Caenorhabditis elegans: one gene and its partner. The protein of the gene in region 1 purifies or fractionates together with the protein of each later gene. This does not show direct contact. Each region holds a gene or a part of one and is shown on either strand. Other genes may lie near its edges.

Region 1 (5,148 bases):
TGCTGGTTATTATATCAAGTAGGTTATGCATATTTATTATTTGATGGATTCTCAAATTACTGGAGATTTTTATTTCAGAAACTTATTTTACATAGATAAATTAAAAACATTCCAGATATTTCGATGTGAATGGAGATGGAATTGTGACAGAAGTTGAATGGCTGAAAATTATGGATCGAGATGAGAAACTTATCAATGATAAGAAAACAAAAGAAAAGGGACGAAAGAGAGATCCTGGAATTGGATGGATTTTGGATTTTGATAATGACGGAATTGTTTCTTATAAGGTTTGTGGAGAACTGTTTTGCTTTAAAAAAAGTTTCAAATAAAAGATAATTTAATTTTCAGGAAAATGATGAAGCTGCTGATCGATTTGATGCAGGGCCAACACTTTTGCCAATGGAATCAAAGGATGAACTCTAATAAATTAAATTTCGTTTTGTTGACTAATAAAATAACTGTTTTGAAGTTGATATAATAGTTGTAGTAATTTTTTGTAGAGTCGGACCTTTACGGGAAAACCTTTTTGTAAATTTCTAACCCAAAAACATTCGATTCAAAGTTTTCCAATAACTATCATGAAAAGGAAGTAAATTCTATGAAAAAATATGAAGAAAAATAGAAATTGGAAATCAATCTGTAGTGCCTTGTCGTGTCTCAAAGTCTATGAAAAATTGATAAAAGTCTGTATGTGGTGTTTTAATTGTCTTGTTTATCAATAATTTTTCTGAACAATTTATTATTATTATTATGATTGAACCGGGCAAATTCCAACATTTCCCGTGCTTAATAAACTCCGAAAATTTTGATGTTATGTCTTTTGGATCACCAAAATCAGTTCCGTGTAGTAAAAAACGTAACAAAAACGTGTTTTCCCAATTTGAACATTTTTAGCTTGTTAAAAACTTGACTAAAAATGAAAATTCATTTCTTTCAAAACAAGGCTAATACATATGTAAGTCTCCAGAAACTGTTCGGTTTTGTGAACAATCTGGATTCATTTTGGCAAATCCTTTGCAACAATCATCCGAAGCTGAAGATCCCAGAAACAATCAGAATGGACACACATTCGATTCGGAAGTTGATGGAAATCTACTTTTAATGGCTTCTGGCACCTGAAAATGAAATATTAACTGAATTAAAACGGAAATAGGTATATTACACAGAACATTGGAAGCAAGTGGGATGCCACGTGGAATTCAGCGCCTCACAAAAGTTGGTCTTGATGAACTCGCCACAACCTGGATATTTATAGGGTTTCTGAAGTTTCGGAAGCTTTAGATACCTTTGCAAATAGGACGAGTCGTCTTGATATGGCACTCGGAGCACAGGATCACTCCATTCTGTGGAACACACCTGGAATTGATTAATGTAAAACTATTAATATTTAAATGAAATACCTCTCCCCGTCATTGATACGGCATTTGCACAGATCGCAAAGCAGATGATTCACGTGCCAGACCTGAAATTTGGGGTTAACTTGTGATTTAGATGGGTTAAACGGGCTAAACTTTCAAACCGAGAATAAAAAACTAGCTCCTTGTTCATATTTTGATGATTTCGAAATAAGAAAATCCGTTGTATTTTATTAAATTGAGAAGTGTAAATTACTTTTATGGTGCCAGATGATCAAATATATATAGTAAAACTTTTAACAAATGTTTGGAATTCGAGTCAATTTCGAGTCAAAAAATGCCAATTACTGAGCTTTTGTCACTTTTTGTGAAAATTATGGAGCTGTCGCATGCTCAAATTATTATTATTATTATAATAGTATGAAGAAAAACCTTTTTTTGAGCGACAACTTCCAAAAAAGTGACAAAAACTGTGTAACTAACACTTTTCGAAACAAAATAAAACTGTATTCAAAAGACTTATGAAAAGTCACACGACGGGAGTAGTTCCAACAATTTTCTAATTGGAGCTACTTCACCTTTGACTGTCAGCTTTCGAATAAAATTTCGAGAAAATCTTACTTTTCCATTTGCCAGAATAGCCGACTCCTCGCCAATTTTCACCGAGCAATGTCCACATTCGTTCATTTTGAAGTTTAAAAAACTCTAATTTTGTTGGAAATAAAATACATTTCAAATAATTGACTTTCTAAAAATTCCCCACGGCCACGTGTTCGGCCTTGATTGTGAAATGATAAACAAAGAAAAACTTCCAAGAAAAATTGAAAACCAATCAGTTTGAATTTCGCATTGCGAACAATTGCGTCGTCGGATAAGAACAGAAAAGTCTCGGCTCAAAAAAGATAACGAAATGGAAGATCGTAACATTACGGAGGAAGATCGCGTTTGCCCACAACTCCCTGAGTTTGATGAACAAGCGAATGTTCAAACGGATTTGAAGAAAATGAAACCGGTTCGTTCAGATGTTCAGGTTTTCTTTATTATGGTTTGAGAAATCGACGCTTTTTCTAGGGAGATGCAATTGGAAAGAATTGGAAAGTGGTGAAAGCAATTCAATCGGATAAAGGATTCAATACAATCTACGTGGCGGAGCATGTGCAAAAGAAGAAGAAGATGGCAGCCGTTAAGGTACGATGTTTCAGGTGTGCCTATCGGCGTGTCAATGTATGGTTTTTGGTGGTATGCCTGCCACATTTGATACGGTCTAGGTCCTCGTAGGACCTAGTCTAAGTGAAAATAAGGCGGTAGGCAGGCAAAGGAGTACGCAATTTCCCAACATTCTATAAGTTTCAATATTTCTGTAACACGAAAAAACTGCCAACCGAGTTTACAATTTTCAGGTTGAAAGAAAGACGGAGGCCATCAAGATGCTCCAATTCGAGCTTTTCGTCTTGTTGACAGTTGAGAAGAAAAACCAATGCAAACAATTTTGCAAGTAAGCTGGAGAGATTTCAAAAAAAGATTACAAAATCTTTTATTTTCAGACTGTTTGAGAAAGGAAATGAGAAGGAGTACAACTGGATTGCAATCACCCTTTGTGGAAAAAGTTTGAGGGTAGGTACATGACTAGAAGATTCTACATGGCAGGAATCCCGCCCTCGCCTCTCGCCGGCAAGTCTTACCAGTTGCACAGGGTATTGGCAACTAATGAAAAGAGCAAGAGACAGGTCATCAAGACCAATTGCACACAGGGAAGCGAAAGCGCCTGCTTTTCACCTCGACAGTATGCAAAGCCTATTTTTCAGGCTCTGCGCAAAAACCAGCCAACTGGAAAACTAACGGTTGCATGCGGATTGAGTGTTGCCCAACAATGCTTGAAAGGTCTTGAAGAGCTTCATCGAGTGAGAAATCTAACTTTAATTATTTCAACTTTCTTGATTTTCAGATGGGATTCATCCATCGCAACGTTGCTCCGTCCGTATTTGCAATTGGAAGATACACTGGTGACAATCAATCTGATTTAAGAAATGTAAACGCATAAACTTTTTTTTTCAAATTTCAAATTCAAATTCCTAATTTCAGATCTATATTCTCGACTTTGGATTTGCTCATCAGTACATGATTAAGGATGGAACACTGAAACCTCCGTCAGCTCATCCATGGAAATACGTGGGAAGTCTTCGTCATATGCCACGTGCCGCATATTCGAAAGTGGAATTCTCAAGAATGGAAGACTTGGAAATGTGGTTCTATATGAGTGTTGAGCTGGTTAAGGGATGTCTTCCGTGGGCTCATTTGAAGGTAAGACTTGTTGAGTAGAATATGGCTCCAAATGCAATCGAAGAATGTCTCTGAAAGTAACTTTGCATCAAAGAACGGCATCACTATACCCTTGGGCTTTTACGGGAGGCAGGCGGTTTCAGGCTTTGGCACATGACTGCCTGCCTGACGCCTGCCTGGAAATCCTCCTTTGCATATAACTTTGCACGGCGAAGTAGGTGTAAATGCATTTTTGACATATATCAAAGCCCTTCTCTATGTATCCTTTTCCAGAAACCAAAAGAAGTGCATGACTATCAAAAGTTGTGCCGAAATGGTCTTCAAATGCGTGAAATGCTCGGAGGTCTTCCACCAGAATTCGTCGACATTATGCAAATAGTAGGCAACTCCTTTGCAACTTTTCCCCTAACAATCCATTCTTTTTCAGGTTGACAAACTTTCATTCACCGACACTCCGAACTACACAGAAATCTACGGACTTCTCACCAACGCGATTCTCTTCAGTGGCAAAAATGTATGTCTTTCACACAATAAAAGTGTTATCATTTATCATAATTACAGGAATTCCCGTACGATTGGGAGGAGGCTGAGATCAACGAGTTCAAGAATCCGCAGAAGCCAAGTGTGGAGCAGGCAACCTAATAGCTCTCTTTCTATGGAAATAAATTGACTTTTTTGAATATTCAAAGTGTTTTTATATCTTATAACGTTATTCCATAAACTCCCAGTACAATACATCTACAGAACTAGAGAAAAGAGAGTTCAAAGATCAGAGATCAAACTACATATGAACAGAACGAAACTGCATTTTATATGTAGTTACATTGTAGTAAACGATATAATTTCATTTCAAAAGATGAGTTATCATATATTTAGGAATGACCCTTTTGTAGATCCCCTCCATCCCTGATACGGTAGCCTTAAAGTTTCGATCTTTTCGAGACCAGAGAACATTTTAGTGTGAGCGATTAAAATTTCACGAATACAAATAGAAATGTTCATTTTAATCTTTAAAATCACGAAATTGAAAGCAAGAAGACTATTAACCGGAATGCAGATAGAAAATGTACAGAAAATTCAAAGAATGTCGGCCAATTATGCATTTTCCTCTTCTTTCTTTTCCTGACTTGCACCTTCTTGTTTATTCGTAGCACCTTTCATTTGAACCGAAAATCCTCCATTTCCATTCGGGACCATCTCAAAACTGTCTGTCGAGAGCCCAAACGGCGATAGACAGAAATTTCCGAAACCCTTCAGTTTTTCCATCACATCGGCTTTCATCGCCTCATTTCGATTATTAATTTTCTCATTGATTTCAGCGATTTTCCGATCAAGTTCGACGCGGCGTTTTGGAAGAGATTCCTGGAAAAAGTTTACTTCTAATTTCAAAAAGAAATCTACCAAAATCGATACCTGTAACTGTTTATAATCTTCAATAGAATTCTCATACTTTTCTGACATATTCGAGTATGCAAACGCCCGTCGTTCCAGTGCTTTCTCGTTGGTTGCTCCA
Region 2 (7,967 bases), on another chromosome or scaffold:
ATATCAGAATTTTTGTCTGTCTCGAAAGTAATATTTTCAACATTTCAGGCTAATGCTGGACCAAACACCAACGGATCTCAATTCTTCCTCTGCACCGTCAAGACCGAGTGGCTCGACGGAAAGCACGTCGTTTTCGGACGTGTCGTCGAAGGATTGGACGTCGTGAAGGCTGTCGAATCCAACGGATCCCAATCCGGAAAGCCAGTCAAGGACTGCATGATCGCTGACTGTGGACAACTCAAGGCATAAATTAATTGCACCCGAAATCTCCTTCATCTCTTGATTATATATTTTCAGTATTCAACTAATCCATATTTTTCTCATAAACCTCAGTTATCCCCGATTGTTCCTTTGAAGAAACCCAGGTCTCATTGAGAAAAAAAAAAGAAATCAGCTCAGACGTTGCGCATATTTCCATCTTCTGGCGAAAGGCGCGACGTTGGGTCCCGCCTTTTCAGGCGACATCACAATCCGATCGCCTCGGCCACTGCACAAGTCATCGATCACCGCTGAGGAGTTGAACCCGCGTCTGTTGTTTGAAGACGGCGCGCTTTACCACTGAACCACTCGGTCGCGAATAGTAGTGCGCCGTTGTGTACCTATAAAAGTGTGCGTAGGCAAGCAGAGAGGAATAATGAAGCGGAGAGTTTCAGAACCGGATTTCAGCTTTATCTAATACTTGAATCTACATGCAACATCCATTCAGATTTTAATTCAATCTTTAATGAATCGCATCTACTATTTATTGTCGCTTTTAATTTTTCTAAACACTATAAACTCTCTTTATCAATGGGGTAATTTTTAAAAGATTAAATTTTTTTGAATTGACATTAAAAATTTCTCAGAAAATCGGATTTTAAAATGTGAAAACGCCAACTGCTCTCTTCAAAAAACCGGCGAAGAATTTAAACCTGCAGTTTGTGAGAAAGGTCGTCTTTTTATTTGAATAAACTTTTGAAATCGCAAGAAAAATTCAGATTCTAACGGAAAAATCGCATGTGATATAGAATGTGATAAAGCTGATCGTGACAGTGTTATCTCAAAAAGGCCCACCGATTATCGATATTGCAATAGGTGATCCGATTAAATTAATGTTTACAGTAGTTTCAAAAATTCTATAAATTTAAGGTTTTACACATACAATGCTGAAAAGACTTCCGATGGAAAATATGTGATTTGGAGAAGTGGAAAATGTGCTGAAGCAAATATTACTTTATCTGTTCATTGTGCTTTTGCGGTGTATATGGTCTGAAATAAATAATTTTTCTGGATTTTATTGTATTACGGTACCCGAGAAAGTACGCAAGATGTAGACGTGGCACACCATTCGACGAGCAAATTGGAAAAATTAAATAAAATTGACGACGAGATATTGTATTAGTTCTAAACTCGATCAAGAACATTCTCTTTATTTCGAAATAAAATTACATATGTACTTTTTGGGCTAAAAATAAGTCTCGCCACGACACAGTTTTGTTAAATAACAAAGATGTGCGCCTTTAGAGGGTAATGTAATCTCAAAATTGTATTGTCCCTTTTCTTTAATCAACTTTTTAAAGTTTTCCAAGCGAATTAATAAACTCTATGAAAATTGGAAGGAAATTGCACAGCAAAAATTTAAATTGCAGTACTGTTTGAAGACGCACACTTTTTTGACGAAAACATGTCGTTTTGAGACCGGGCAACGTGATTACCTTATGCCTGCCTGCCTACTGCCTATTTGCTCTAAAACATGTACTTTGGATGTAGGCACGCGTGTAGGCATGAGGTCAGACATATGTACATATTTGTCCTATATTCATTCAAAGACACACTCGATTCATGTTCCCATCTGAAAACCAAAAATCAAATTATTCAAATACATACTATAAAAAATCAAAATACAATTAGTAACCTTTTCTACAACTCACTGGTGACATCACATAAACCTTGACATTTTCTTCTTCATACTGCTCCCCCAATCAAAGAATGCTATCAGTTATCAATCATATGCACCAAACACAAACATTCGTACAGCCAAATTCGCTGCGTCTCTCCTCAAACTCGTACTCTCTCGGGCGTCTGCTGACGACACGGAAAGCTGATTTGGTTGGAAACTGGCCTGGAAAGTGACAAAATTGTCACTTTCCTCCGCCAACATGGCAACGAAACCTACTGACATTTTGCGTGATGGTAAATTGATTTTCTTTAAATATGAGGAGGTGAGGATTTTACATTGTTGTAAAAAAATTACTCTTTGTCAATGGAGCGTATTTGGGTAATCAAAAATATTTAAAATTATGAAATTTTCAGAATTGGACAAGCCGAAATGCCGTTCGTCTTCATGTTGATCCAACACCTTATATTTTGTATTGGAGGTACAAGGATCCTAAAGTTTTCAATACAAAGGAGGTAGGTTGGTGCCCTTAAAACCCCCATAACTATAGAATAGGCGAAGCTGCGAAATAGATTTCAACTATAAAATATTATCCATATTTTTTGAACATTTTGTCAGTTGAAGAAAATTTTTCTTTTGACGGGGGAACGCCACGTGAGGCCATATTCAAATTTATTCAAAAAAATGTTTGAAAATTTGAGAGTTCAAGTTGTAAGTAGGAGGAAAGTTAGAGTAGAAATAAAAAGTAACAATAATCTATTTCTATATTTTATTTCATTTCTACACCTCTTATTTGTCAATTTTTCATATTAGAATACCAACTTTTCAGCTTGCTTACGAGAAGAACTACATTTATCTAGAACGAATCTATGACGTTCGTGCAGGAAAACCGACAGACTTTGAATTAGTGCCCAGCGAGAGAAGTTATGAGCCCAACTTTTTGACTATTGTCAGCGGGACAAGCATCACGAATCTAAAGTTCACTCATTTCGTGTGTATGGAGAAGAATGAGGTGATTTCGTTATACTTTAACCTAAATCCTTTGATTTGATTCAGAAACGCCTGCACGAGTTCGCCGCCACTCTATTTACTGTGGTACAGCGTGTCAAACGGGAAGAGCACGGACTTTTGTATCATTTTCGTAAAAAGTTGGCTCCGAAGATGTACGCGGCGTTTACTAGAAGGTGTATTGAAGAAGAGTAAGTTTTTTATACCGTAGTTGCAAGGTACACCTAACTGGACGCGAATTGCTGCATAGTAAAACGTTCATTATTTAATTGTAATGATGCTTCAAATAATTTTCGACGTTAATATCAATGTGCAGCGAGTTTTTCCCACGTCTATCATACTTTTGGTGGTATTGATCAACAGCTTTTTCATCCTCAACCGGAGGAATTGTGCAATCGAAGCTGTAAATCTTATTATTTAAATTAAGCAGTACTGCTAACTTTACCAGTCAAAAGTATGCGCATCCGTTGGTGTTCCAAGGAAAGCCACCAAGAGAGAAAGCAAGAAAATCGAATATAGAAAGTTTTTCATAGCAGAAACTGGATAGTTTTAAGCCTTTGCGTCTTTAAGAGCGAGTGTATGATTGAATTAGCAAAGCACATGGGAGCTTGATTTTTGATCATTGAAGTTTCAGTATTATGAAGGTTTTCGACAAGCATCGAAAAAACTCAACGAAAATTGAATGGACAGAGGTTGGAAAACTCCTTCCAGTGGTGAGTTAACATAATGCCTGCAAAACCATTACAGTCTCATTCAGAATCGAAAGTCTGTCGAGATAGACGATCAGAAGCTCATAAAGATCATTATGATACTTACCAAGTTTGAGGGTTCCAGGTTGGAAGCTATATTTCGAAAAATGTAAGATTCTTATTAATTGCAATTTACCTCACTAGGGAACCATCAGAAGGTGCCCATCGGACTTGCATAGGAGACCTATGCCATTTAATAGCCCATGTCTTAAAACGGTTACTCGCGAATTTTTAGCTGCGAATCTCCAGAACCAAGCTTAATGCGGGCTCTCAAAGATCCTACAATAGCACTGTAACGAAGCACTGTAACAATCAAAAGAAGCTATTTTCCATATTCACTTTGGTAGCTCATATCTCCGCGGATAAATTTTTAACAGAAAAGTCATCAACTGATAAGTTGTTGAACTTTTTGTAAAGAGCAAGTTTGTAGTTGAAAGTTTTCACCAAAAAAAATTCTGTTTCAGATAAAAGCATTAGAATAGCAATCGCAGCCTTAAAATAGTAGACAACAGTTGCCGCACTTCACGCGCTTTTATTTGAAACAACAATTTTTTTATTAAAAACTTTCAATTACAAACTTGTTCCTTACAAAAAGATCAACAACTTAAAATTTATCCGCGGAGATATGATCTACCAAAGTGAAGCTGCAAAATTGACCCTTCAATTTTTCGTTATAGTGCTATTTTCAGGATCTTTGAGAGCTTGCCGTGAGCTTAGTTCTGGAGATTCGCAGCTAAAAAATCACGAGTAACCGTTTTAGACATTGGTTTAAGACATGGGCTATCGAATAGCATAGGTCTCATATGCAAGTCCGTTGGGCACCTTCTGATGGTTTCCTAGTCAGTTTCATTTTCAGAAGCGAGGATGAACCTGTTGCCACAAAGTTAGAATTTGGCGATTGGCTTAGAAAAAATCAACACGATCATCGACTCAACGACGCTAGGTTCAATCAGGTGTCAGATAGGAAGATCAACTCGATTTTAGAAAACTGGCAGTATTCTAGCGGTTAGTCTAGCTACAATTGGAAGCTTCTTTTAAAAACGAGGCTAATTTCAGATTCCGCAATTTCACCTCAAATGTTCACACATTGGATGGTGTCCGATGAGTGCGGAGTTGCGATTTCGGCACAAAGAATGAAGATGGATGTGACTAGTATGAGAGAGCCGATCAACAAGTATTTCATTAATTCTTCACACAACACTTATTGTTCTGGTAGGTCATCAACTCACGCGGACTTTTTTTTTCAAATATCCGTTCAGGCAACCAACTGGTCTACGCAATTGGTCATTGCTCCGCTGACGTTGAGATGTATCGTCAGGCTCTTCTAAGTGGAAGTCGATGCGTTGAGCTAGATATGTGGGATAACAAGGACAAAGATGGAGAACCTGTGATAACTCATGGACCAACTGCAGTTATGGGAATGAACGAGATTGGATTGAAAGAAGTTTGCGAGGCGATCAAGGAATGTGCTTTTAAGACATCTCCCTATCCAGTGATTCTATCCATTGAGAATCACCTTGGCAGAAAACAACAAGAGAAGATGGTGCAGATCTTTCGTCAAGTATTCGGAGAGCTGCTGTTGACTGGCCCACTTCCAGACTACCCCCTTTACGCTAAAGAGGGGGCAGGCGACGTTGTGTATCCACCGCCGGAACTTTTGAAGCACAAGATTCTGATTAAAGCCAAGAAGAAAAGATTCGAGAAACAGGAGTCAAGAAGTCGCGATAGCTCGAGCATTGATCTACAGGGATCTTCAATCGATTTGACCGAAGATGAAGAAATGGAGAATGAACGATTCAATGAGCTCACTGAAGAACAAAAAGCCGCCCAGCTCAGCGAGCTACCAGAAGAAACAACATGCTCCGAGCTGTCCGCCATCACCAACTACATGCAAGCCTATGAGACCAGTCGTGGAGTTTCCACAGTTGTCAATCTAGAGAATGCTACAAAGGACATCGTTCCATGCATAGTATCTGCTGATGAGAATACCGTTTACAACTGTCTCCGTGCAAATTCCATTGATAAAGTCCAAAATCTTAACAAATCAAAGATCACAAGAATCTACCCGAAAGCCTCTCGCATCTATTCCACCAACTACAACCCGATGATTCACTGGCTAACCGGCTCGCAAATGGTTTCGTTAAATATTCAGACAAATTGTTCGAACATGCAACTGAACTACGCAATGTTTGAGAGAAATGGAGGTTGTGGGTATGTTTGAAAAATAGAAAAAAGGGCGTGAAGTTTGAGCTTGCAGATACGTGAGAAAACCTGATTGGCTCAGAGCACGGAATGTTCAGCTGAGGCCGTTCTTGTCGATTCCATTCACGATAGCGTATACGGTCGAGGTTGAGGTAAGCAAATTTTATTATCATAGATCTTCTCGGGGATTCTTTCAAGTTCTGAAGTTCACGAAAATCTCTTCCTTGAACTTTTTTCAGAGGGTTTCAACCCCAAATCTCAGTGAGAGCTGGTAAGAAAAAGATCAAGCTTATTACATTAGACAGACCTCTAGACATCTTTCAGTTTACACAATCTTTCTCAGATCATTGCCGCATACTTCCTCTCTTCAATGGATTCTGGCAAATTTCGTCGACGAAGTTCAGTTTCCATTCGCCTCTTTGACGTACCTGATCAGATATCCAAAGATGATGCCGCATCGCCATCAGTATCCACGGCTGCAAAATTCGAATCCAGCTGCCGACGGCGTACTCGAGAGGAGGCTTCGTTTGTCACTAACTATGAGCGTCATGTATACAGTTTCGACAAAATCATGTTGAATGACATGTCATTCATTCAATTCAATGTTCATAATGAGTCGGGTAGTGTATTTGCTCAACGAATACTTCATATTGATACTATGAATAATGGTGAGACAACCGCATAGTTCACTGATTTTCCTCAATATTTCCAGGATATCGCTTTGTGACACTTCGTACTCCATCTAATCAGTGTGCTGGGCCAGCATGCCTTTTAGTTAGATTTGATCTTTTTATGCATTCAGATAGGAAAAATTTACGTAAGTTCTTGTTTTAACAGGAGCCCTGAAACTGTAAATTGGATTCAGATGACTTGAAGCAAATGTACAATCCACACGCATTTGAAAAGGAGTCTGACAAATGGGAACGAAGATTCAGCAATCCATTTGCAGACCTGGACAAGTTTGATGTAAGATTTCCATACTTACAGATCAATATCAAAAGTTTGAATTTTAGGACAATGAGTTCCTTCTAGTAGAGGGAACACGCAGAGGATCAGTGGAGCATGCACCAACAACACCCACCACACCAACCAAGCCAATGTCTTTTGGGAAGGAGATTCTGGAAAAGATATCGTTTTGGAAGAAGAAGTAGAATCTAACATTTTTTGCACAAAAAATACGAGTTGCATAAATCTACCTGGAATACAAAGAAACAAGAAGTCGTATGCCCTTACATTAGCAGCAACTACAGTCAAGAAAAAAACAGTCATTAGAAAAAAAAGGCTTTTCGCAGGTTCTTATATACTTTCAAATGAGAATCTGAAAATCTGGAAACTATAGAAATAAAAATCAACCAAGAAGCTGTTGCTCATTATATTGTGCAAAAGTTTATTTATATTTCAAATCATTCAGGTCAAAAGAGGCAGCGGCCGTCATCTCAAAAGTCCAGTTTTGGCAGTTTTTTAAAGCATGTAAATTATTCACAAATATCATGACACAAAATAAAGCGGCCGGGATTTCGTGGCACCATTTTTGATCAGAAAAAAAGGATTCTTGGAACCCATCACATGTCTGCTGCTTTCACGAAGCGTCCAATATTTGCTACTTTTAAAACCCGTAATATGTCCGCCACTTTAAGGAATTCATTGAAATCTATTCTGAAAATTTAGCTGGTCTATTCATTGTCCAGATTTTTAATCAGTCGACATTTTCAAGCCGCAAATTTTCAGTCAGATCAAAACGTTTATGTGAACCAAAACTCGTAAACATGTAATTTACGTCTAACAATTTTTCTCCTGCCTATGTATTCTACTTTACTCTCCAGTTAAAAATCGAGATGAAAGATGTATGGCCGGATGCGGCTTCCGCGTTCTATTTTGACTACCATGCTCGTCTTGTAAACACTGTCATTTCATTCCTCGGCTTGTTATCCAACATTTTCCATTTTTCGATTTTAATCCGAAAATCTCTTCGATCAAGCCCTGTGTTCAGTATGATGTTTGTTATATGTATCTGTGACTTGCTGCAACTATTAACACAGACTCAAAACGATATCAAATACATTCTGGAGTTCAACCAACCTGATTTCTGTCTTGGATTCGACACATACTATGCTACAGCTCTCACGTTGACC

The links.
Region 2: the proteins of C34B2.3 (region 1) and plc-2 fractionate together in Caenorhabditis elegans (co-fractionation; one large-scale study listed by BioGRID). This does not show direct contact.

Annotation. Positions count from the first base shown.
Region 1 is NC_003279.8:10,670,548-10,675,695, forward strand, and holds C34B2.3 (Protein kinase domain-containing protein), read left to right. Parts: upstream 1-2,189; 5' UTR 2,190-2,265; coding exon 2,266-2,367; intron 2,368-2,426; coding exon 2,427-2,543; intron 2,544-2,755; coding exon 2,756-2,850; intron 2,851-2,899; coding exon 2,900-2,969; intron 2,970-3,160; coding exon 3,161-3,256; intron 3,257-3,300; coding exon 3,301-3,384; intron 3,385-3,437; coding exon 3,438-3,656; intron 3,657-3,735; exon of another isoform or gene 3,736-3,867; intron 3,868-3,908; coding exon 3,909-4,013; exon of another isoform or gene 4,014-4,062; coding exon 4,063-4,149; intron 4,150-4,196; coding exon 4,197-4,277; 3' UTR 4,278-4,317; downstream 4,318-5,148. Other genes in the region: fkb-7 (peptidylprolyl isomerase), read left to right, coding at 1-18, 116-287, 349-423; C34B2.4 (LIM zinc-binding domain-containing protein), read right to left, coding at 998-1,115, 1,163-1,241, 1,286-1,356, 1,401-1,462, 1,977-2,042; ttc-1 (TPR_REGION domain-containing protein), read right to left, coding at 4,731-4,997, 5,049-5,148.
Region 2 is NC_003283.11:15,190,585-15,198,551, forward strand, and holds plc-2 (Phosphoinositide phospholipase C), read left to right. Parts: upstream 1-1,987; 5' UTR 1,988-2,138; coding exon 2,139-2,201; intron 2,202-2,292; coding exon 2,293-2,391; intron 2,392-2,705; coding exon 2,706-2,888; intron 2,889-2,932; coding exon 2,933-3,075; intron 3,076-3,136; exon of another isoform or gene 3,137-3,149; coding exon of another isoform or gene 3,150-3,285; intron 3,286-3,329; coding exon of another isoform or gene 3,330-3,415; exon of another isoform or gene 3,416-3,425; intron 3,426-3,518; coding exon 3,519-3,597; intron 3,598-3,641; coding exon 3,642-3,742; intron 3,743-4,489; coding exon 4,490-4,638; intron 4,639-4,689; coding exon 4,690-4,845; intron 4,846-4,892; coding exon 4,893-5,844; intron 5,845-5,890; coding exon 5,891-5,987; intron 5,988-6,178; coding exon 6,179-6,503; intron 6,504-6,547; coding exon 6,548-6,652; intron 6,653-6,700; coding exon 6,701-6,801; intron 6,802-6,848; coding exon 6,849-6,986; 3' UTR 6,987-7,040; downstream 7,041-7,967. Other genes in the region: cyn-3 (Peptidyl-prolyl cis-trans isomerase 3), read left to right, coding at 49-249; Y75B12B.11 (DUF7808 domain-containing protein), read left to right, coding at 725-794, 846-929, 978-1,074, 1,129-1,252; Y75B12B.13 (uncharacterized protein), read right to left, coding at 3,150-3,285, 3,330-3,415; srw-1 (G-protein coupled receptors family 1 profile domain-containing protein), read left to right, coding at 7,671-7,967.